4 linked regions of the Saccharomyces cerevisiae S288C genome follow. Changing the gene in region 1 together with any one later gene gives a genetic interaction. Each region holds a gene or a part of one and is shown in the gene's direction. Other genes may lie near its edges.

Region 1 (4,557 bases):
TTAGCAAGCGCTTCTTGCTCTTCTTTTTTTAATCTCTCAGCTGTTTCTTGTTCTCTTTGTTTTCTCTGTATTTCCAATAGTTCTCTCTCTTTTTTTAGGCGTTGCTCTTCTTCGAATTGCCGTTGACGTTTCAACTCCATTTGCTTTTTAGCCTCCAGTTCCATTTGACGTTTTCGTTCCTCTTCTTCGAGTTGTCGTTGGTGTTCCAATTCCATTTGCCTTTTCCTCTCCTCCTGCTTTATTCTTCTTTCCTCTTCTAATCTTTTCATCTCATTTTCCTTTTGTAACTGAAGTCTTTTTTGCTCTTCTAATCGTCTCAGTTCAGCCTCTTCTTGTTGCTGTTGTTGCTCTAACTCGTATCTTTTATTCACTTCATTCAATGTCGAATTGGAAGAATAGGGGGCCTTATTTAGAGATTTCATTCCTGCATGATATTCCACGCTTGCAGGCGTTGACACTGGATTAACGCTTTCTGTTTCAGACCTTCTTGTCCTCTCAGTAGGTGCTGAAAAGGGGACAGAGCCCACCGATTGGGTAGTGTTTGTCGTGAAATTACTTGTAGGTGACTTTATTGGAGATACGGAACCGGGGCGATTTGTGATGACTGCTCTTTGATAACTCCTCTCGTCAAGATAAAAAAGGGATAAATCCCAATTGACCAATTCAGGGACATGACCTTCGAATGTTTGAATGTATAGAGTAATTAGAGATTTAATGAAAACAGTTCTTTCCTTCGCAGAATTCGTTTCCCAGTAGTATTTTTTACTCATGGTAAGAATGAAGCCTTCAGATATCTCCAGGTCCTTCTCTACTCTTACTAGTTCGGTCAACTGCCAAGTTCTACCAATTTGAAAAGAGCCGTCTGAGTTTTCTCTTGCTTTATGAATTTGTATTAGCTTGGCATTGTTGGGCTTGGCACTCAAAATAAGGAGTCTTTTCTTTTTGTTCTCCAATTTTGAATCTGGAGGAGGTCTTGAACTAGGGAATTTTGAATCTTCTATAATCCGGACATGTGTAATATAATTATTCGGCGGTTCACCTGTCTTATGGTCGGGTCTGGAAAAGCAGCAATTAATTATGGCTTTCCTATCCCTTTCATATTGTTCGGCTAAAAAATTCGAAGTTTGAGAGGAATTTGAAGCTCTCGACACGTTTCTCTTATGCGAATAATTTCCACCAGAAACAGGTGGTGCGGAAGAGGGTACTGCACCTTGACTGACGTTTCTAGAATGGTGAGCACTGCTACCGGATATTGTTCTCTTGTGGAAAAACGATGTGTTTTCATCGTGTGATGTCTCACGACTGTGAGACTTCCTTTTAAAAGGAGACTTCGAGGACCTCATAATATAGAATAAATTGCGTAGCCTTGTTACCTAGCTGGAGATATCTGGCACCGACTCAGTCTTTATGACCGCTTTTTCTTCATAAGCTATGATACTGTTATTGCTATAAGTGTTCACCAAGTTAGTATTTGCCCATTAATACCGGGTGACATAGTCCCACAAGCGTGGTTCTCAAAAAGCAACGAAAAATTTTCTGACTTGGCAAGGTGAGACTTAGGCTGATAAGTAAGTACTTTTTAGTTTTTAGTGTACAATACCCCCTAAGGAACCCAGGTTTTAATACTATTATCTTTATAATGTCTCTCGACTTTAACACTTTGGCCCAAAACTTCACCCAGTTTTACTATAATCAATTTGATACCGATAGAAGCCAATTGGGTAACTTGTACAGAAATGAATCTATGCTAACATTCGAGACTAGTCAATTGCAAGGTGCAAAGGACATTGTTGAGAAATTAGTATCTTTGCCATTTCAAAAGGTCCAACATCGTATCACTACTTTGGATGCGCAACCTGCTTCCCCAAATGGCGATGTCTTAGTCATGATCACTGGTGATCTGTTGATTGACGAAGAACAAAATCCACAGCGTTTCTCTCAAGTGTTCCATTTGATTCCTGATGGAAACTCTTACTACGTGTTTAACGATATCTTCCGTTTGAATTACTCTGCTTAAGGATTTTTTAAGTCACCACAGAAACATGTATTTTCATTTTCGAATATTGTTTAGCATAATTGAAGATGCTTAGCTAACGATGTATAAGGCGATAGCGATAAAGAAGATATATATATATATATATGTATGAAGATAGCGTTTTTAAATGTATTTCTTTAATACTGATCTTCGATCATTTTGAGCTTGTTTGGCGGGAATACCATTCTTAATATCTTCAGAGACAAGTAAATCCACTTCAATTGACTTTTCGATATAGGTAACTAATTTTGAAATGTCAGTCTCTTGAACAGGAATGCGTACTATTCCATTATTGTCACCTGCAATATAATCACCAGGACATATTGTTTGGGTTACGCCATCACTCGTTAAGATTTTCAACTGTACGTTAGTGCCTACGGCTTTAACGACAGCCTTTGGAGCGCAAGATCCAACACCGTAAGCAAAAACGGGATGGTTTAAAGTCCGGTGTTCATCCACATCTCTTATGCGTCCAAAGACTACTGTCCCATTCGATTTCAAATATTGTGCTCTGGTACTCATCAGCCCCCCGTACATCGCTTGCGTAATTTTAATAAATGGGTGGAACTGACTTTGCAAATGGGGCTCCAGTGCGAGGACGAGTATTGAGTTGGGAGGGACAGAGTCTATATAGTTCACGGCAGGTCTTGGATCATCAATGGGTGCAAACAGTACTGTGTATGCAGTGCCTACTATGGAGCTATTTTGCGGTGGAGAAATTGCTGTTAGATTAGGGAAATAACCACCCGTTGGAATGTTATAAACATTCAACAATCCGTCCGAAATATCACAGGTTGAGAACCTCTGTAACTTTTGAAGATCTGACATTGCGGACGGCGGTTTCTACTTATACTGTTAATTTTTTTAAAAGTTGGTTTAGTTTATGGAAAGCCATACAGTTCAAGTTTTTTCGCGCTAAGTAAGGTGATCACTTTTTTTTATCGTTCTTATCACTTCCAGCTGTAATACATCATAGAGATTAATGAATGAGCAACGTTTGACTCACATACAGACCTAAGTGGCGGAAATTATTATTGGCAAAATAGCTGGGCTTGCAGTTTTCCTGATTATTTGGGTAAGCTGATGGTATTCTCCAAACGCGGTGGGCAAGATCTCAGATTATCTGCTCCTTATCGACTGCTTTTTATTTCTATAAATGAGCTTGTATACACATGTATAGTTTGTATTTGGATTATTTATACTTTTACGGATTATGTTCGTATTGTTTGTATTTCATTCCCTAATTTTCCTTTACAGATATAATTTCATGATTAAATTTCAAGGCAAAATATAAAATTATTCAGAAATAGCTTCATCACACAGTGTCTAGCGAAAATATTTGTTAAAATGCTTAACCCAAAGTGTCATTCTCGACAGTGAACCTTTCCTAAAAACTTACAATTGTTATTACAAAGTTCTTCGGGGGATAACAGTCATGGAGTTACAGCAATGATACCTTATGCGGCTAAGTTTTCTTTATTTGCACATAAAGGGTGCCTTCAACATTACTAGACTGCGTGGTGTTGTTCAATTCAAACTGGAGACATAGACTACGAAAATCTTTTAGTCAAATTTACAAGGGCGAGTAGCTTTTAATTGTGCCTTCATGTGCCAAGTAAATTGCGTACAAAAAGTGTCAAGAGATTTTCTCATTCCCTACATTTGCCAGTTCTATAGGCACCTTCTTGCGCATATACATATCTACAAATATCCCGGCTTATTTCCAGTATTACTATGTTTTACTCTTAATTCAAATAAGCACTGCTATTATTACTTTTGATCACGTCAAAAGATACAAAAGACAATCTACAAGTTTATGGCCTTGCATTGTTTATAATTTATGTGCTATCTGAGCATACCCGCCTTTTCTCTATTGTTATTCGAGAGAAGACTAAAAATATCTGCTGCAAGAACAAAAATGGGAACTGCTTGTCTCTTAAAATTATCAATCCACAATGGAAATAGACTTTTTTTACACAGCAACGGTTTTTGAATGCTATGAAACGGTCATTATCAGCTAACACGCTCAACACTTTACTCCATCTTCTTAAAGGGTGTAAACAGAACGATAAATGATTTCCATAAATAGTAAGGCCCAGCCGACAGCCTGCAGCGCAAAAGTGAACCGTTTCCATCTAACTTGGATAATCTGCATTGTTCCCAACGAATGACAGAATCCATCGCCAGATCTAATAAGGTTCAATTTTCTCTATACGACGGCTATAAAAGGAAGTTTTCCGAGCGCGCTTCGAAGCAGAATAGGGAGGACCCCAGACCCGTTTTAGTGCCTGTCCCTTTTTAGTACGTGTTTCCGTTTCCGTGCCTGGCTAGATCCATCTTTCTTCGCGCGTTTATTTTCAGCACCATGTTTTAGGTTTTTACAGCATCGTTTAAGGAACCCAACAATACAATAGCGGGAAGAATGCACTTTCTCGTTCCATAAAGGGTCTCTTTCACCTATACGGTTGGTACAGATTTCCAGTGTATGCCAGTCAGCCACGGCATTACGTCGTTTGCTTCTA
Region 2 (9,386 bases), on another chromosome or scaffold:
AAGTAATTTTAAAGATATCAACAAAATGTACTATAATGCCAACACATTCTTTACTTATATTGGCCGGAAGATAAATCCAATTTCTCGAGTAATTGTGGTATGTCCCAAGAAAGTAGTGTTTTATCAGAATCGCAAGAACAACTAGCCAATAACCCTAAAATAGAGGATACAAGCCCTCCCTCTGCCAATTCGAGAGATAATAGCAAACCTGTACTTCCGTGGGATTACAAGAATAAAGCCATAGAGATCAAGAGCTTCAGTGGTTATAAGGTAAATTTCACCGGCTGGATAAGAAGAGACGTAAGAGAAGAACGTCAAAGGGGAAGCGAGTTTACTGCATCTGACGTTAAAGGATCAGATGACAAAGCTACAAGGAAAAAAGAACCAGCAGATGAGGATCCTGAAGTAAAACAACTTGAAAAAGAAGGAGAGGATGGACTGGACTCATAAGGTAATGTCAACAGCTTAAAGTTGTTCTCAGGGCCCCACACTTTCTAGTTTGGCACGTCATTTATGAAATTCACAAATTGGTTACATTAAGTACTAAATCTGGTAGCCGACCAAAAAAGAACAACAAATATACAATTGTATGAGTAAATATGCAATATAAATCAAATGTATTTAGTTAAAGGGCCAGAAGTAAGGCTACAGACTGTAAAAGAAAATTAGATGGAAACCCTCTTCAGGAAAAAAGGACATTATAAAAGATACAGCCAAGAAGTGGGCGTTTATAAAACAATTATATAACATGACCGTCGATTATATTCTGACAGGAATGGCGACGATTGCATCGTTATATTTCATTTCATTCCCAACTCAACGATACTGGTATCAAAAAGCCTCTCTGTTCATTATTTGTCCCACTACAAGCGACTCTCTTATTTTTGGCGGTCTCTGCCAGCTTAAGAAAAAGCGGTTACCAAACGACACTAAAAGAAGCGGCGCGTCTGGTTCATTAGAAATTTGTCAGTAATGCTGTCAATCTTTGTGTAAAAAGTCTTTCCATCAGTTGCCACCCCTTTTGTAGCAACTTCCATGCGTAGAACAACCTCACATTCATTATTTTTTTTACCCTTCTCTTTTAATTGTTCAATTGCGAACAGACCATCCAAAGATTCGAAAGAAAGACTGAGGTGCTCCGCATAAAATCTTTATAAACTTTAGAAGTAAATGGTTTCGTTCAGAGGGCTGACTACACTAACACTACTTTTTACCAAATTAGTAAACTGTAATCCTGTTTCCACAAAAAATAGGGACTCTATACAGTTTATTTATAAAGAAAAGGATAGTATATACTCTGCCATCAACAATCAAGCCATCAATGAAAAAATTCATGGAGTCAATTTGGGTGGGTGGCTAGTATTGGAGCCGTATATTACACCTTCTTTATTCGAGACTTTCCGTACTAATCCGTACAACGATGACGGTATTCCTGTTGATGAATACCATTTTTGTGAAAAATTAGGCTATGAAAAGGCAAAGGAACGCCTTTATAGTCATTGGTCGACGTTCTATAAAGAGGAAGACTTCGCGAAAATTGCTTCTCAAGGCTTCAATTTGGTTAGAATTCCTATTGGGTATTGGGCCTTTACAACGTTGAGTCATGATCCCTATGTTACCGCCGAGCAGGAATATTTTCTAGACCGGGCTATCGATTGGGCTAGGAAATATGGTTTGAAAGTATGGATTGATCTTCATGGAGCCGCTGGTTCACAAAACGGATTTGATAACTCAGGGTTGAGGGATTCATATAAGTTTCTGGAAGATGAAAATTTAAGCGCCACCATGAAAGCTTTAACGTATATTTTAAGCAAATACTCAACAGACGTATACCTGGACACCGTTATTGGAATCGAATTGCTCAATGAACCGTTAGGTCCAGTTATTGACATGGAAAGATTGAAAAATTTGCTTTTGAAGCCGGCTTATGACTATTTGAGAAATAAAATTAATAGCAACCAGATCATTGTAATACATGATGCTTTTCAACCTTACCATTATTGGGATGGGTTTTTGAATGATGAAAAGAACGAATATGGCGTCATAATTGACCATCATCATTATCAGGTGTTCTCGCAGGTGGAATTAACAAGAAAAATGAATGAACGTATCAAAATCGCCTGCCAATGGGGGAAAGATGCCGTAAGCGAGAAGCATTGGTCCGTAGCAGGCGAATTTTCAGCGGCCTTAACAGATTGTACAAAGTGGTTAAATGGGGTTGGTCTAGGTGCCAGATATGATGGAAGTTGGACCAAAGACAATGAAAAATCTCATTACATAAATACGTGTGCAAACAACGAGAATATTGCCTTGTGGCCCGAAGAGAGAAAACAGAACACTAGAAAGTTTATCGAGGCTCAATTAGATGCTTTTGAAATGACTGGTGGATGGATAATGTGGTGTTACAAGACAGAGAATAGTATCGAATGGGATGTTGAAAAATTGATTCAACTCAACATTTTTCCGCAACCTATCAACGATAGGAAATATCCTAACCAATGTCATTGAAATTTTGTGGCATATATTTAAGGTCTTGGGAATGTGATGATTATTATTGGAGAAAAAATTGCCATCTAAAACTCTTTATATAACATGATGAGGTATACAAATAAAAAATACTTTATATCTTATAATTATGCAAATAAAAGTGCTTCCATCAACCGCTACTTCACTTTTTATCTGAACTATGAATGGGGAGCTCATGATGATTACCTGTTGATATTACGTGAGGCGGAAGAGAAGCACGAGACACGGGTCACTCTCGATATTACCGGACAGTTTACTTAGACTATGTAACGAATATGAGAGGAAGAAAAACAATAAATAAATACAAACCTCTCCGCAGTTTTATGAAAGAACAGGACAGGGCGTCTATACCGATTTTTACATCTATCTTTTGAGTGCTTGAAAGGAGACGCTGGACTATATCTTTAGGTTAAACATCTGTCAAATGGCAGCAGTACCCACCATCGACCTTACACTAGCCGATTCAGATAATGAAGACATATTCCATTCTTTTTCGTCTTCAACAAGTGTGGATAAGATAGACATTAGGAAAGAAAATGGGAAATTAAGAATGGCAGGCTTGGAAGTCGCCCAATCTAATGACGATGCAGCACGTCAAGCATTCCATGTTTTCAAGACGAACATATCAAATAATGAAACCTTCGATACTATTCTTTCAAAGAGCAAGACAATCACAGACAGTACCTTCAACAATGAAAAATCTTCCAACGAAGTAAAACAGCAGCAAGTCTTGAAGGAAGAAACGATGGGATCTTCCAACGATGAGAAGAAAACACAAGAGAGCAGCCCAAGCGCAGAGATGATAAAACTTTTTTATGAAAACGATGATGTGCCGTTATCCGATAGTTTTAAACAAAAAGAGGAAGGTAAAAGAATAAATCAGGATGAGCAAGTGAAGGAAAATATCTGTGGCATTTCTTCCTCATACGTCTCCAAAGACTACGATGGCGTTGAAGATGATTTCGAGCCTAATACTTGCCAGGACAGCAATTTGGATTTTCAAGAGGAGAAGTTAAACTTGAATAACAAACCGTCACAGCAACAGTTCAGCGACCCAGAAACAAAAGATAACAGTTTGAAGAGCGAAAACAAAGACCAAATAAAAGGAGTCACAACAACAAGTTATCGTGATTTACCTATTGAATCTAGTGCTTTCCAGGATTCTGAAACTCAAAATAACTCCAAAAACACTATACCTAACATCGTAAATGAAAAGCGAACGCCAGCATTACCGTCCAATCTAAGCTCTGTTGAGAGTTCCCTTAAAAACGAGACGGCCAAAGTAGAGGGGAAGACGACCGTTCGTCTTCCAGGACTTCAAAATAATGTTGCCTTACTTGAGCAAGAACAAAGTGAACTATTCAAGCACTTTAGTGAACAACCTGTCGATATTAGCGATTTTGGTCGTAAGATTAAAAGGAAGCATAGCGGAGATTTTGCAGATAACAAGATACTTAAAAGACCGATATTGCCCTCAAAAAATATGGACCACACAACACATAATTCACATGATTCCGAACAGAAAAATAGCTCGATTATTATTCTTTCAGATGAGGACGAATCTGGTGCCGGTATCAATGATATAGAAAGTCCTTTGAAAGTTTCTGAACCAAATACAGCTGATGCGCTTAGGAGCAGTGTACCAGAAGTCATATCTTTACTTGACCTACCCAATATTGACTTGAATAACTCAGTAATAAAAGAAGCAAGTGGCAGCAATTCAATTCCTACATCAGAAACAGACGCACAATCCTCGAGTTCGTCAGTTCTTCAAGGAACTATCATGACAGAACAAGCTACTCAATCCTCTCAACACGAATGTAACAGTTCACTTGATACTCTAAAAAAAAATCATCAAAAATTATTGAAGGATTTGAATTCTAGAGAGTCTGAACTACGTAATGCTCTCAGTTGCTGCAAGACAAACTCTGAAATTTTAAGAAGGAAACTAAGTAGAAGAGAAAAGGAGGTCTCTGATGCTGAAAAACATTGGCAGTTATTGTTGACATCGATGGCTAGAGGGGGAAGAACTATCAGCTCAACTCAGCAGATATTAGTTGATGAAGCTGAGAACCAATTAAACAAACTGAAGGAAAAAAGACAGTTGACAAAATCGAAGCTAGATTCAATCAATTTGAAAATGTATAATTATAACGAACAATGGAAGTCCTTTGTGCATTCGAAAAATATAAACCTGCAGAAATCTTTGGCTGCCCTTGAGCGGTCAGCCAGGGATAGTAAAGCTTCTGCGACCGTAAATAAAAGAAACGAATGCCTGGCTGAGAAAGAAAAGCTAGACCAAATGTTAAAAGAAGGAACCCTAAGCTTCAGTACCTACAAGCAGTTAACAGGGGAGATCCAGCAGAAACTGAATGACTTGAAACTGGGGGACCAACGCACAACTGATATCAATAGTGTATTGCCAATAGTACGGCAACCTCTCGCCAAAAGAGATTTATTTATTAAGTCCATTGATACTGCAAAAGATTTATTAGCCAAGAACACATCCAGGACAGAAATGACGAAGAGAATTCTTTATAGACATTTGGACAACTTGGTCTCTTATAAAAACTTTTTTGAAGACGGAAGATCCTTAATAGATATAAACAGAAGACACGTTGCACATGAATCGGCCCAAATATTGTTCACCAACGGTGTAAAGATGCCCATTGTTTTTGAAACATTACAAGATTACGGCATCAAGTTTTCTAATCCAGCCATTGTCAATCCTGACAGAAGAGCCCAATATTTTAAAAGCATCGAAGTTGCACGCGATCTCATATCAAAGTCTACTAGATCAGAGGATGCTAAACGAAAGATTACTCGATTTTTGAATATAATTGAAGAATTTCGTAAAGATATTGACACCGGATTTCCACCTACTCCTTTAAAAAGGGAAGGCGTCGGAAAAGCTGTTGTTGGGCTAAGACAACAAGGACTTAAGATGGACAGACTATATGAAAATTTGAGAAGATATAAGATTCCAATAACAAGTGAAGAATTACTGCAGCAAAGCTATTTATTTCCGGTAAACGCAGATCAACGACCTCCTTCAAACTGGAACATCGTGGAAAATACCGAAGATACTAGTTCTACAGCCAATGATCTATCGATGCAAGATGAATTTCACATCTCTAATATGCATGCAGCAGAAGATCAAGAACAGATTAGGGCTCTTTTAGAGAATGTCAAACAATCTGAATCCATTATAGACGGCGAAGCACTTACTCCCGAGGATATGACCGTAAACTTATTAAAACACCAGAGGCTGGGTCTGCATTGGTTGTTACAAGTTGAAAACTCCGCAAAAAAAGGGGGTCTGCTTGCTGACGATATGGGCCTGGGTAAAACGATTCAAGCTATTGCATTGATGTTAGCAAATCGCTCAGAGGAATCCAAATGTAAAACCAATTTGATCGTCGCACCAGTCTCAGTCTTGAGAGTTTGGAAAGGTGAATTAGAAACGAAAGTAAAAAAACGCGCAAAATTTACTACATTTATTTTTGGAGGATCAGGTAACGGAAAAGTTAAGCACTGGAGGGATTTGGCAAGATATGATGCTGTTTTGGTATCTTATCAAACTCTAGCAAACGAATTTAAGAAACATTGGCCGAAAAAACTGGATGGTGAACAAAATCAGCTACCAGCTGTGCCTCATATACAAGCTCTTAATAGGTTGAAAACCTCAAATGAATACTACTCTCCATTTTTCTGCAATGATTCAACGTTTTACAGAATTTTACTGGACGAAGGCCAAAACATCAAGAACAAAAATACAAGGGCTTCTAAAGCGTGCTGTACTATAAATGGAATGTATAGGTGGGTCTTGTCTGGTACGCCGATTCAAAATAGTATGGATGAGCTTTATTCCTTGATAAGATTTCTAAGAATTCCACCCTACCACAAGGAGCAACGGTTTAAATTAGACATTGGAAGGTTTTTTCAGAGAAATAAGCAATATCAATATGATAACGAGGATAGAAAAAACGCATTAAGAAAGGTTAGAGTCCTTCTAAATGCCATTATGCTTCGTCGGTCTAAGGCTGATAAGATCGACGGCAAACCTTTACTGGAGCTCCCTCCTAAAATTGTGGAAGTAGATGAATCACGCCTGAAGGGAGAGGAATTAAAATTTTACACAGCTTTGGAATCAAAAAATCAAGCACTCGCTAAGAAATTGTTGAACAATTCTACGAGGGGGAGCTACTCTAGCGTTCTCACATTACTACTTCGCTTAAGGCAGGCTTGTTGTCATTCAGAATTAGTTGTGATGGGAGAAAAAAAAGCGGAAGGTACAAAGGTAGCTAACGGCAAAAGCTTTGAAGATGACTGGCTCAGGCTCTACTATAAAATCACTCACATGAGCGGAGAAGCGCAGGCTCAGGTTATTACTTCAATGAATTCTATGACATGTTTCTGGTGCATGGAACAATTAGAACCAGAAGCGATGTCCGTTCTGACAGGTTGTGGTCATTTGATTTGCGACACTTGTATCGAGCCCTTCATCGAAGAGTCATCCATGCTACCTCAGGCCAAGAAAACCAAAGGTGGGGCATTTGCTATCCCATGCAAAGATTGTCAACGTTTGACAAACGAGAAAGATATTGTTTCGCACAAGTTATACGACCAGGTAATAAACCAGGGATTTACTGAGGAAGATTTGCATGCAGAGTATTTAAGTGAAATGGAGAAACAAAAAATACAGCAAAAAAATGTATATGTGCCAAATTTTGAGAGTTTAGAACCATCTACGAAGATAGAGCAATGTATACAGGTTATTCAAAGAGTTTTTGATGAATCAGCAACCGAAAAAATTATTATTTTTTCCCAGTTTACAACATTTTTTGAGATTCTCGAACATTTTCTCAAAAATAAACTGAATTTTCCCTACTTGAAATATATTGGATCAATGAACGCTCAGAGAAGATCAGATGTTATCAACGAATTTTATCGTGACCCTGAGAAAAGGATACTTCTGATTTCCATGAAAGCCGGTAACTCAGGACTAACATTGACATGTGCGAACCATGTAGTTATAGTTGATCCATTTTGGAATCCTTACGTCGAAGAACAAGCTCAAGACCGTTGCTATAGAATTAGTCAAACAAAAAAAGTCCAGGTGCATAAATTGTTTATAAAGGACTCTGTTGAGGATCGTATTTCTGAATTACAGAAGAGAAAGAAGGAAATGGTCGATTCTGCCATGGACCCAGGCAAGATAAAGGAAGTGAATAGTTTAGGGCGTCGGGAGTTAGGATTTTTATTTGGTTTAAACGCTCTTTGAAGAACTTGGTGAATTTTGAAGCATTATTGCGATACACATATGTATATGTTGATAATTGGTGGCTAAGCTTCTAGTTTGTAGGCTTAAGTAACTTCACTCGTTGGCACTTACGAGCTTGGCATTTAATGGAACAGAAAATAAGCCGTAAATCGGCCCTACTTTAAGTATAAGAAATATGCGAAATTTGATATGATCGTTTGAATTACTTTTTGAAAAAGAAAATACCATTAGTAACATACAATATAAGAAGCTCGTCTCCTGGATTTGGAAATCCACAAAAGATTATCAACAATGCCACGAATAACATAATTGCTTCCCCCTCCTGTTAATTGCTTTAACTCATTATTGCATCGTTAACAGTTGTTACTAAATTTGATTTTTGTTTCTCATCATATATGTAATCTTCAAACGCCAGTATAATTATACGCTCGCAACAGCTACCATACATTAATGAACCGATGAAAATATCCCGTTTGATGATAACTGGCAATTAAATGACAGTATTAATTAATAATCAAAGCTGATCTTATATTCCTATAAAAGAGAAGCGTATAAAACACACGTGGATTGGGGGTGCTTTATACGTAAACTGTGATTTCAGTAATTTTCGCTGTAAGATCAAAGTAAAGACACATTCCCTTATATGTAAAGTTCAAATTCATTGTTCCACTAATAGACCGTCAACTTTTCTTTTGGATTTTCAGCCCGAACAGGTTGCTTATTATTAACTTCCTTACAACAAGGTACAGTCAGTGCATTATATAGATCTATACAACCATGTGCCTTTGTGTTTTCTAAGGCTATACTGAAAATAAATTGGTAATTTATAATTTCTATCTTCACGCGCTTTCTCACTAACAAGACTTGACCTCTCAAATAAGTGGCGCAGATGCTCTAGAAAAGGTTTCTTATCAAATAAGTTTTGCTCTTTAATCGCACAATGCAATGCAAGTTATTTTTTTTTTTTTGATTTAATGACTTTCGATTTCCTCTCATAGGCAACCGGTACTTATCATAAGTACGTAATAAGAAAAGTATGTCGCAGGACGTCATAAGCTCAGACTTGAACAAAAGAGTAACAAAATCGCCTCCACCTAATTTTCAGCCCTACTAGAGCCTGATAGGATATCGGCACTGAAGCTGATAAGAGAATCAATGAAAATATCATCCTCAACAGAAATACTGAAAAGAAGCGGTAGTTTTTTTTTCTTGTTACAATTATCAGCCAAACAAAAACAGTGATCTGAATCGTCAATCAAACATTAGTGGAAGAATGAAATAATCGAAATGACCTCTATATCCTGTACGACCAACAAGCTTAATAGTAGTGTTTCCTGGGACTAAAGAGTGTGTTTAATTATCTCGAATTTTAATACTAGCGAAAGATCTTGAATGAACACTAAGTATGATCATTTTATTAGGTTTTTTGCTCATTAGGCAATTTGTTTTTCACTGGAAGTAGAGGATTCCTTTTCATTATCTTTCTGATGAACAATTTCAAACACTTTTGTGTTTTCTGAACTAGTTTTTGTCAACTCAGGTAGTTCATCATCGGAGCTCTCAGGTTTGTATTCGT
Region 3 (5,876 bases), on another chromosome or scaffold:
AAAAGTATGGTGACGTCTTTACTTTTAAAAATATTTTTAACAGTTGAAGGAGCTCCCCGTGTACATCTTGCCAGATCTTCAAGAGAAATGTCACCAAATAAATTATGAAATTAAAGTACAGCGGTAGTGATAAAAACGATCATCAAGTAGTGCCATCCGATATTTCGTGTCAATTTCCAAGCTCATGATTTATGACATACAGGATTTTCAAGAATATTAAATCTTGTTCCTGAGGAATTTTTGATAAATCCAATAAATAGTAAATAATAAGAAAAAAGACAGAACAACAACGTTTTGGTGGGAGAAAGGCCACTTCTCTGACCAGACTAGAGTACTAATATTTACGACAAATATACTGAGACCGTGACCAATGGTAGAAGGTGATTGGCTTGAAAGAAATGCCAACATTAAAGCACATATCACTGCTCTTGATATCAGTAGAGTTGCAAAAAAATTATACTACTAAAATCAGCTCAACGGCAAGAAGTTACTAAGCACAGCAGAAATTCTGGAGCTAAAGAGAATAATATACATACAAGACTGACTGAAAACTCTGTTTTCCACATGCAGTGGACTCAAAATATTCAGTTGAAGAAGCAAGCACAAAATTGGATCAACCCGTCGCGTCGCGGCCGCTGCTGCAGGCGACAAATCCACTGGCAAATTGTACGCGGCCTCGTTACTCCTACTTGAAAACAGAAGTAACAACAACAAATTCAAGTTTCTACGAAATGGGTCTCATGACGACAAGGTGCGCCCCCCTATCTACCTTGTTGTAAGTCTGGGACCTGGGGCTAATTTCTCATCCCCGGAAACAAAAGTATACAACTACGTGGCTAAAAATTTTTTAGTATGCAGCACATAGGATGCCAAGGAGCAATTTTTAACCCTGGCAATCTGAGCTACTGAACGGCCGCCTCAGGACTCATAGTTCTCTATATATAATTTCTCCATGTTTCTCCTTGTGCCTGGTGGAAAATATCAAGTAGTTGCCGCGACATAAAATGAATGCCTCGTAGACACCGCGAAGCCGGAATGAAGGCGGACACTACGGCACCGCCTCAAACCCAACGGCCGAGAGCGAGTTCATCTCCCTCATAGATGCGAACGGCATTGGCACTGACGCCATCATTGTAGAACATATAGACAAGATTAAAATGCGTAATCACATCATGAATGGGAAGTTAGGTGCGGTCCACTACCCTGGGGGCCTCACTGGGGACGTCATCACCCCCAAAGCACCTCAATAAGTCCATAAATAAATATATAAAAATTACTGAATAATAATAAAAAAAATAAATTAGTTCAGTCTAAAGAAATGGAAGCAAAAACCTCAAAAAAAAAATTTTTTTACGAAGACTATGCTTCCAAGACTGACGTCTTAGAGGCATAGTCGAGAAGAAAAGGAATTACTGGCACAGAACGACAAGAAATATCGTGTCGGCGCCAAGGCATCTATGTAACTACGTCTTGTGATCACCGGTATAGCTGGGACTATTCCGTTTCATCATATGATCTGGCCGTCTGCGCTTGTACATTCTGGGCGCCAGGCGTAAATGACCAGAGTAATGTCTTGCTGTAGTCGTCCGTCGCCACAGAAGCGCGTGGACGCATGATCGCGCGCAGCGACCGGTCGGTTCGCAAGACGGTTGGCAATAGGAGTTTCCTGCTGACCGCCTTATTAATTTATATGAAAGAGGAGAATTTGTCATCGGGCTTTCGAATGAAATAAAACAGCTCCTTTAAGTAATGGAACTGGAAGAAGGAAGAGAATAAACGACAGAATTTTCGTGCTCGGAGCGAACACCGCGCCGGGTTACGAACAACAGTGGCCACTACTATAATAGTTATGGAGTAGACGTCAGAATATATAGCGCAGGCGTCAGAGTATAGCGCGGGCGTCAGGATATAGTGTGCCAATGTAGCGTGGTTGCATGCAGCTAGCTTTTTAGTTGAGTCAGACCTGCTCCAAAAAAAGAGGAACACAACTTTCGTCAGCATGTGTTGCTACCGCTATTTGTTCTTCGGGGAAAAAAATTTGCATTCGCTATTGTAGTTTTAATTTTCCTTCTCTATTCTCATAAATAGAGTTAAAATCTTATAAACTCCAGAATTATCAAGAACAATTACCTATATTATTTCCTATTGCAGAATTTATATTATTCTTTATTGTACTGATATCCCCATTATAACTATCAAAAAAAGGACTTCAGCACCTGTATCATCATGAGCTTCAGTAGTATAGTCTCTAAGTTTTTGAGATATTTAGAAATTCCTGCCAAAAATAGGACTGCCGTGAATTTTCTGAGGAACCCTGATTTGCAACCTATCAAGTCTGCAAATCAAACATGGGGGTTCTGGTCTAATTTGGCGTACTGGGGCGCTGTGTCCTTTACAGCAGGTACATGGATGAGTGGTTCTGCTGCACTAAGTGTCGGCCTAAGTTACCCAGAGACCATTGTTTCGTTTCTTCTCGGTAATGTCTTGACCATTATTTTCACTATGGCCAACTCTTACCCCGGTTATGATTGGAAAATCGGTTTCACCTTGGCCCAAAGATTCGTTTTTGGCATTTACGGTTCAGCCTTCGGTATCATCATTAGAATTTTGATGAGTATTGTCAATTATGGTTCCAACGCTTGGTTGGGTGGTCTATCTATCAACATGATATTAGATTCCTGGTCCCACCACTATCTGCACCTGCCCAATACTTTGTCCCCAAGTGTTGCCATGACCACCAAGCAGTTGGTCGGCTTCATTATTTTCCACGTCCTCACCGCGCTCTGCTATTTCATGAAACCCTACCATATGAACTACCTTTTAATTTGGTCATGTGTAGCTACTTGCTTTGCCATGCTGGGTATAGTGATTTACTTGACTAAGAATGCCCATGGTGTCGGTGAATTGTTTACCTCCACAAAATCTACCGTTACTGGTTCTAAAAGAGCATGGGCTTGGGTTTACATGATTTCATACTGGTTCGGTTCCATTTCTCCAGGTTCCACCAACCAAAGTGACTATTCAAGATTCGGTTCCTCCAATTTGGCTATCTGGACCGGTAGCGTCTGTGCATTACTAATCCCAGCAACCTTGGTCCCAATCTTCGGTGTCATTAGTGCCTCCACCTGCGACAAATTATACGGTAAACAATTTTGGATGCCCATGGATATATTCGATTATTGGTTGACAAACAACTATTCTGCAGGCGCTCGCGCAGGTGCCTTCTTCTGTGGTCTTTGCTTTACCATGTCTCAAATGTCCTCCACCATCTCCAACTGTGGGTTTGCCACTGGTATGGATATGGCCGGTTTGTTGCCCAAATACGTCGATATCAAGAGAGGTGCTCTTTTTTGCGCATGTATCTCCTGGGCTTGTTTGCCATGGAACTTCTACAACTCTTCTTCTACTTTCTTAACTGTCATGAGTTCTTTCGGTGTTGTCATGACTCCTATTATTGCTGTCATGATCTGTGATAACTTTCTGATCAGGAAGAGGCAATATTCCATTACTAATGCCTTTATTCTAAAGGGTGAATACTATTTTACCAAGGGTGTCAACTGGAGAGCTATCGTTGCCTGGGTGTGTGGTATGGCTCCCGGTCTACCTGGTATCGCTTGGGAAGTCAACAATAACTATTTCCACGACTCAGGTATTGTTAAATTCTTTTATGGTGATTCTTTCTTCTCCTTTTTGATTTCTTTTTTCGTTTACTGGGGGCTATGTGTCTTCTTCCCATTCAAAATTACTGTTAGACATGATGACAAAGATTACTATGGTGCATTTACCGACGAAGAAGCGAGAAAGAAGGGCATGATTCCATACAGTGAAATTTCTGAGGAAGAAATCCGTGCTTACACGTTAGGCGAATGCTACACAACTGGACACGAATACAAACCTGAGAGTTCTGATAACGAATCACCTGAATTGATCAAAACTAGCTCAGAAAACACTAACGTATTTGAAATCGTTCACCAAAAGGATGATGAAAAGCACTCCTTTAGTACCACTCAACAAGTTGTCTGATGACAAAGAATCCGATAAAATGAAGATCTCAAATATACAAAGAGGAAACTTCAACGCTTCATTTGAAAATCTGTACAGATCTTACAATTTGGGAATACTACCAGATCGATCCTCAGCTGCAAATACTTTACTGTCAAGTATGTCTATGGTGACAAATATCGGCATTATTGTGTATGGCTCAATAATTTTATAAAAAAAGGAACTATTGGTTCTTAGTATTTTCTTGCTAGAAGACATATTCTTACCAATCCTTTCATAAGCTAATTATGCCATCCATATAGCAAGAGAATCCGGTGGGGGCGCCATGCCTATCCGGCGGCAACATTATTACTCTGGTATACGGGCGTAACTCCATAATATGCCACCACTTACCTTTAACATGTTCATGGTAGGTACCCCACCCAGCCATAAGGAAATTTTCAAAGGCGTTGGATCAAAAAATAGGCCTTTATTTCATCGCGTGATTGAGGAGCATAACATGTTTAGTGAAGGTTTCTTTTGGAAAACTTCAGTCGCTCATTATTAGAACCAGGGAGGTCCAGGCTTTGCTGGTGGGAGAGAAAGCTTATGAAGCTGGGGTTGCAGATTTGTCGATTGGTCGCCAGTACACAGTTTTAAAAAGTCAGAGAATGTAGAGAAGTATGGATCTTTGAAACCCTTTTATTTTATTTTACTTTTTTTAGAATGACCTGTTCCCGACACTATGTAAGATCTAGCTTTTAACATATTATGGAAACCTGAAATGTAAAATCTGAATTTTTGTATATGTGTTTATATTTGGGTAGTTCTTTTGAGGAAAGCATGCATAGACTTGCTGTACGAACTTTATGTGACTTGTAGTGACGCTGTTTCATGAGACTTTAGCCCTTTGAACATATTATCATATCTCAGCTTGAAATACTATAGATTTACTTTTGCAGCCATTTCTTGGTGCTCCAAGGTTGTGCGTATCTATTACTTAATTTCTGTCCTTGCCAAGTTTTGCAGCAGGGCGGTCACAAGACTCCTCTGCCGTCATTCCTTAGTCCTTCGGGAACACACTTATTTATGTATTTGTATTCTACAATTCTACGGTGCACAAGGGTTGGGCACTGTTGAGCTCAGCACGCAACTATTGCTGGCATGAAGATAAGATTGATTTTTGGAAGAATAAGCTTGTGGAAGTTACCTGTCTCTTATTTTTTTTTCCTTTTTGCACTTTTTTTTGGTGATCACTTAGGTAACAATCTATAACACAGCAGTATGAACCCACTAGTTAACCATTCTGCGCCGATGGTATACCTTTTTCATTGCTTAATTGTCTGTGAGAGGCTTGATAAGCTAAGGCTCATGGCGATAAATCCACGATGAACTCGTTTAATGCAAAATATAGGTCGCGGCTTGCCGGGTACCAAGTCGCAACAAAGCTCCCCGAATTGTTTCGCCCATTCATCTGACAGGACAGAATGCCAAACATATGATGCATGATGCAGCAAAGAGCACAGTAATCACTATTTTCTGCATATCATATAGCCAGATTGCTATAGTGTTTGGCTTTTGTCCTGCTGTTAATTGTTTTGTTTTCTTTCTATTTTTATAACTATTATTGGAGAGTAGATCAAGGATACAAATAACAACAACAACCACCAATACCGACCACTTAATAAAAGTAACCATATAATGGGTGTGAGATCCGCTGCAAAGGAAATGCACGAACGGGACCATAATTCGGACAGTTCCAGTTTAGTAACTTCCCTGATGAAATCTTGGAGGATATCGTCGGCTTCTTCCTCCAAGAAGCCATCGTTATACAAAATGAATACTACTGAATCTACTAGTTTACCCTCGGGTTATGCTTCCTCGGCAGATAGAGA
Region 4 (5,464 bases), on another chromosome or scaffold:
GAGTCCAAAATCTCTATATATTCCGCTCAAAGAAGTAAGCTATCAATAATGATCACAAGTCCAATGGCAGAGAAGGAAATTGCAAGCAGGAAAATGTTCCTTCAGCTAGAGGCCTTTCTGAAAATAAACGGATTCGCCATAAAAAATGAAGACTTGAAGAAAATTGTCGAACATTCAAAGGGAAATCCTATTTTACTTGTAAAGAACCTTTTTACTTATTTTCGTAGGAGAAATGAAGTTTTCAAGCTCGGAACCGTTGTATTGCAGGAAATATTGAAAATCATCGGAATGAATCTTAAGCAGAGATACGGCTCTATATTAGGGTTTTCTTCCCAAGATGGTGAAGGACAAGAAATAGAAAAATTTTGGAACAACGACACAAGTCCGATTGTTCCTCTTCAGGAGCTTCCTGAACCAAACTTTTTCCGCAAGGCCGCATTTTGAACCGTATTTTGCTCGTTCCAGCCTTTCCACGTTTTTGTTATCTAAGCAACTTGGCACATTTCCCTACTATACTACAAACCGATACGTAAATACTTCCCTAAATAGCATATGAATTATTCAGTAATTTTTAAGGATCGAAACTGCACCTCAACTATTCGTTACTGTGGTTATGTTCTCATGTATTGATGCAAATCATGGGATATTTGCTCAAGACGACGGTAAAATGAGCAAAAATGGCACGATCCTGAAAAGAGCACTTTTCAAGATTCGGGCTACAAAATGCAACATAAAAAATGTTGTATTGTCATCTCGAGAGGGTCTTGTATGTTTTATTCCTCTTATGATTAGTTCACATTAGTAAAACAGATACGCAGTGTGCTCTTAATAAACAACTACTCCATAGCTTTATTTGCATAACAAAACTTTTAAGCACAAACTTAAACAGGTGGAGTAATAGTTCGGCGGCGACTCAAATTACATTTGTTGGAAGAATCGAATAGAAAATAAAAAAAAGTGTATTATATTTGACATTCAAAATGGAAGGTATGAATATGGGTAGCAGCATGAATATGGACGCCATGTCTAGTGCATCCAAGACAGTAGCATCGAGTATGGCGTCGATGAGCATGGATGCGATGTCTAGTGCCAGCAAAACGATATTATCGAGCATGTCATCGATGAGCATGGAAGCGATGTCCAGTGCGAGCAAAACGTTGGCGTCGACTATGTCGTCAATGGCAAGTATGTCGATGGGAAGCAGTTCAATGTCAGGTATGTCTATGTCGATGAGCAGTACACCAACAAGCTCCGCCAGTGCACAGACAACTTCTGATTCTAGCATGTCAGGCATGTCAGGTATGTCATCGTCTGATAACAGTAGCTCTTCAGGGATGGATATGGACATGAGTATGGGAATGAACTATTATCTGACTCCCACATATAAAAACTATCCAGTTTTGTTTCACCATTTGCATGCAAACAATAGTGGTAAGGCTTTCGGTATTTTCTTATTATTTGTTGTGGCTGCTTTCGTCTACAAACTACTGCTTTTCGTTAGTTGGTGCCTTGAAGTTCACTGGTTTAAAAAATGGGACAAGCAAAATAAATATTCCACTTTACCTTCAGCAAACTCCAAAGACGAAGGAAAACATTATGACACAGAGAATAATTTTGAAATTCAAGGTTTACCTAAGCTGCCAAATTTATTAAGCGATATATTTGTTCCATCTTTAATGGATCTCTTTCATGACATTATAAGGGCGTTCTTAGTATTTACCTCTACGATGATTATTTATATGTTGATGCTTGCTACCATGTCTTTTGTTTTAACATACGTTTTTGCTGTAATTACTGGGTTAGCTTTATCGGAAGTCTTCTTCAATAGATGCAAAATAGCCATGCTAAAGAGGTGGGACATCCAAAGAGAAATTCAGAAAGCGAAGAGCTGTCCTGGCTTCGGTAACTGCCAATGTGGTAGACATCCCGAACCCAGCCCTGATCCAATTGCTGTTGCCGATACCACTTCCGGAAGTGATCAAAGTACTCGCCTGGAAAAGAACAACGAATCTAAAGTTGCGATTTCCGAAAATAATCAAAAGAAAACACCTACACAAGAAGAGGGATGTAATTGTGCCACAGACTCAGGAAAGAATCAAGCAAACATAGAGCGCGACATCCTTGAGAATTCCAAGTTGCAGGAACAGTCCGGGAATATGGATCAAAACTTACTTCCGGCCGAAAAATTCACTCATAACTAATAACTAGACAAGGTTCGTCCACCTATATCTTCTTCTTCCAATATCTCTATACATCAAAATAAGAATATCGTTCATTTCTCAGAAGCTCAAAAAAAATCTCAAAATGGATACTTCTAATGCCCTCATGAAGAGGAAAGAAAATAATAGACACAGCGACCTTCCTATAAATAACAGACTTGTATATAGTTGAATGTCTAAGTAATTTTAATTCAAAAATCCTTAACTATATTACCACCTTGCAATAATAAGAGTGAAGTGTTAAAAATGATACTTGCTTGCCTTCATCGAGTTACCGTTGTCTCCCACGTTTCTTTTTTCTCGTTGGACAGAATTGCTTCCGCGCGAACATTTTCCACTTTTATTTGAAAGAGGACATTATTCAGATCGTGTCAGTCTCATCTAATTGGCAAAGTGGCAATTTTCGAAATAACAAGATAACTGCATAAAGTAACACTTGTCGAATTGAAAGTATTTTGCCAGTGATATTTAGGTTCGAGTAAAGAAAATTTCATAAAGAAATCAACAAGACACAATGCTGAAATACAGGTCTTTGCCAATCAAGAGAGCAATCCATCATCCGGCACCAGGAATTACTCCAATTTCTCCCCGTATTATGGTAAGCAGGTTGAGAGTAATACCATCTTTTAATTTGAAGTTCAATCGTTGGAACTCTTCGGTGCCAGAAAGCTCGAAAAAGGAGTTAAAAACGACAGACGGAAACCAAGAAAGTGCGAGTAAGGTCTCTCCAGTAAAAGAGAAGGAAAAAGTACCCTTTAAGGTTAAGATGCAAAAAGCCCTTCGTCATTATTGGGATGGTTCCAAACTTTTGGGGTTGGAGATAAAAATTTCTTCCAAATTGCTCATGAAGAGTGCTGCAGGCTACCCATTGACGAGAAGAGAAAATTTACAACTGAAAAGAACTACTCAAGATATCGTTCGGTTGGTTCCATTTGCTGCTTTCCTCATTATACCCTTTGCTGAACTTCTTCTTCCATTTGCATTAAAGTTATTCCCCAATTTACTTCCTTCTACTTATGAATCAAGTAAAAAACGCGAGAATAAACTAGAAAATTTAAGAAACACAAGGAAGTTAATGTCTGAAATCATAAAGAATAACAAGTCCCATTTTAAACCTAATAATATTTCCGAGGAACAAAAAGCTTTGTTTAACAGGTTCTACACACATGTCCGTGCTACAGGAGTGCCGGAGTCTCGTCAACAGCTAATCGAAGTAGCTAGATTATTCACTGATGATACTGTATTGGATAATGTGACAAGACCTTACTTGATTGCATTAGCGAAGTATATGAATTTGCAACCATTCGGCACTGATGTGATGCTACGTTACCGTATCAGATACAAAATGCTTGAATTGAAAAAAGATGATCTATCTATATATTACGAGGATGCAGAACAACTCTCCCTCTCTGAATTGAAAACAGCATGCGCCTCCAGAGGTATTAGAAGTGTAGACGTAGAGCCTAGCGTGTTATATTCGAATCTAAGATTGTGGCTGAACATGAGGCTCAAGGATAAGATCCCATCCACGCTGTTAATCATGGCTACTGCCTATAACTACGGTAATGTGCAATCAAAGGAGTCATTGTACGACGCATTATGTGACGTTTTAATCGGTATCCCTGATGAACTATACCATGAGGTTAAAGTAAACGTCGTTAAGGAAGATGAGGCATCCGCTAAGCAAAAATTGAAACAATTGAGGGAGCAAGAAGAAATTATGAAGGAAGAAGAGCAGCAAGAAGAGAACGCCATTGTGAGCGTCAAGGATGAGTTGAGCTTGGACGACCAAGACAAGAACATAGATGCGGCTGCTCCAGACGTAAAACCGCATGACACCAAGCCTATCGGAGAAGCCGCTGCCATCAAAGAGAAGTAACCCAGTTTTCACCTGGCCCATTAAACCGCACGATACACTCTCCGCTACTCTCGCCAACATTCTTTTTATACATACTTGCACGAAACTGCTTTTTTAGCAATGAAAAGAAAATGTAGTGAACTCTACTATAGATTTTGTACATAAGATAAATAAAATACACTACTATATGAAATTTTTGTTTGTAAAGCTGGTGTTTGCACACATAGATAGTATCAACGTAGGGGATCAACACATGCACGACTACTAGAAGCCTTACCCGTAACTTCTTGCATATCTGCTTTGCCAATATTTTTTTTTAAAGTTATTTCTTAAACTACTCCTCGTGCTGTCCACATTTTTACCCGTTAGTTGTTAGACAAAAAAAAAGCGCAACTATCTCCCTTTTGCGCATCTCCCAAGTCCTTTACCAAATATATTAGAAGAATGACACCCGGCCGAGACGGATGAAGCGGCCGTCTCGGCCGCCTTAGGAAGGGATCTGCGTTTTTGTTCGTTAATGAGGTAATCAAGGGCGTACTTGGTAGAACGGTACTAAGTTAATCATTGCTGCTCTCCCTCAAAATTACTCAAAGAATAGAGTGTCTATTGAACCGTAGAATAGGCATTTATTATATAAGGGGTTGTCAATTTACCAAATTTTTTACTTCATCTCAGGACTCTCTCTTAAAATTATTTTCCTTGCCATTTTCTATGTTATGTAGAATAGAAAAACAGGTACATATTAACTAAAATATACACCAAAAAAAGTAAAAATAAAATGTCTGTCGCCGATTTGAAAAACAACATCCACAAGTTAGATACTGGCTATGGTTTAATGAGTTTGACTTGGAGAGCCGAGCCTATCCCTCAGTCGCAGGCTTTCGAGGCCATGCACAGAGTGGTTGAGTTATCCAGAGAACGTGGGCACAAGGCCTTTTTCAACGTTGGTGAATTCTATGGTCCCGATTTTATTAATTTGTCGTATGTTCACGACTTCTTTGCGAAATACCCAGATTTGAGAAAGGATGTGGTTATCAGTTGTAAAGGTGGTGCAGACAATGCTACCTTAACCCCCAGAGGCAGTCACGATGATGTTGTACAAAGCGTAAAGAATTCAGTTAGTGCTATTGGTGGCTACATCGACATCTTCGAAGTCGCAAGAATCGACACTTCCCTATGCACGAAAGGAGAGGTCTACCCCTACGAATCGTTCGAAGCGCTTGCTGAGATGATCTCCGAAGGCGTTATTGGCGGTATTTCATTAAGTGAAGTTAATGAAGAGCAAATTAGAGCTATTCACAAGGATTGGGGAAAGTTTTTGACCTGCGTTGAAGTGGAACTTTCTTTGTTCAGTAATGACATTTTACACAACGGAATTGCTAAAACA

Evidence for each region.
Region 2: mutations in NTF2 (region 1) and ULS1 together harm fitness more than expected from each alone (negative genetic interaction), as found in Saccharomyces cerevisiae (one large-scale study listed by BioGRID).
Region 3: mutations in NTF2 (region 1) and NRT1 together harm fitness less than expected from each alone (positive genetic interaction), as found in Saccharomyces cerevisiae (one large-scale study listed by BioGRID).
Region 4: mutations in NTF2 (region 1) and YLH47 together harm fitness more than expected from each alone (negative genetic interaction), as found in Saccharomyces cerevisiae (one large-scale study listed by BioGRID).

What each region holds. Positions count from the first base shown.
Region 1 is NC_001137.3:170,476-175,032, forward strand, and holds NTF2 (Ran GTPase-binding protein NTF2), read left to right. Parts: upstream 1-1,639; coding exon 1,640-2,017; downstream 2,018-4,557. Other genes in the region: GTP-Rho binding exocyst subunit SEC3, read right to left, coding at 1-1,343; YER010C (bifunctional 4-hydroxy-4-methyl-2-oxoglutarate aldolase/oxaloacetate decarboxylase), read right to left, coding at 2,159-2,863. UniProt on the Saccharomyces cerevisiae protein: Facilitates protein transport into the nucleus. Interacts with various nucleoporins and with Ran-GDP. Could be part of a multicomponent system of cytosolic factors that assemble at the pore complex during nuclear import.
Region 2 is NC_001147.6:689,525-698,910, forward strand, and holds ULS1 (translocase ULS1), read left to right. Parts: upstream 1-2,950; coding exon 2,951-7,810; downstream 7,811-9,386. Other genes in the region: IES4 (Ies4p), read left to right, coding at 100-450; SPR1 (glucan 1,3-beta-glucosidase), read left to right, coding at 1,171-2,508; THI72 (thiamine transporter), read right to left, coding at 9,244-9,386. UniProt on the Saccharomyces cerevisiae protein: ATP-dependent helicase involved mating type switching and in silencing interference through its interaction with the silencing regulator SIR4. Cooperates with UBC4 and UBC5 to mediate ubiquitination of SUMO conjugates.
Region 3 is NC_001147.6:457,627-463,502, reverse strand, and holds NRT1 (nicotinamide riboside transporter), read left to right. Parts: upstream 1-2,226; coding exon 2,227-4,023; downstream 4,024-5,876. Other genes in the region: YOR072W (uncharacterized protein), read right to left, coding at 1,687-2,001; GTPase-activating protein GYP1, read left to right, coding at 5,683-5,876. UniProt on the Saccharomyces cerevisiae protein: High-affinity pH-dependent nicotinamide riboside transporter which also transports thiamine with low affinity. Involved in 5-fluorocytosine sensitivity.
Region 4 is NC_001148.4:785,228-790,691, forward strand, and holds YLH47 (Ylh47p), read left to right. Parts: upstream 1-2,733; coding exon 2,734-4,098; downstream 4,099-5,464. Other genes in the region: AXL1 (Axl1p), read left to right, coding at 1-444; high-affinity Cu transporter CTR1, read left to right, coding at 981-2,201; YPR127W (pyridoxine 4-dehydrogenase), read left to right, coding at 4,856-5,464. UniProt on the Saccharomyces cerevisiae protein: Involved in mitochondrial potassium homeostasis through the mitochondrial K(+)/H(+) exchange regulation.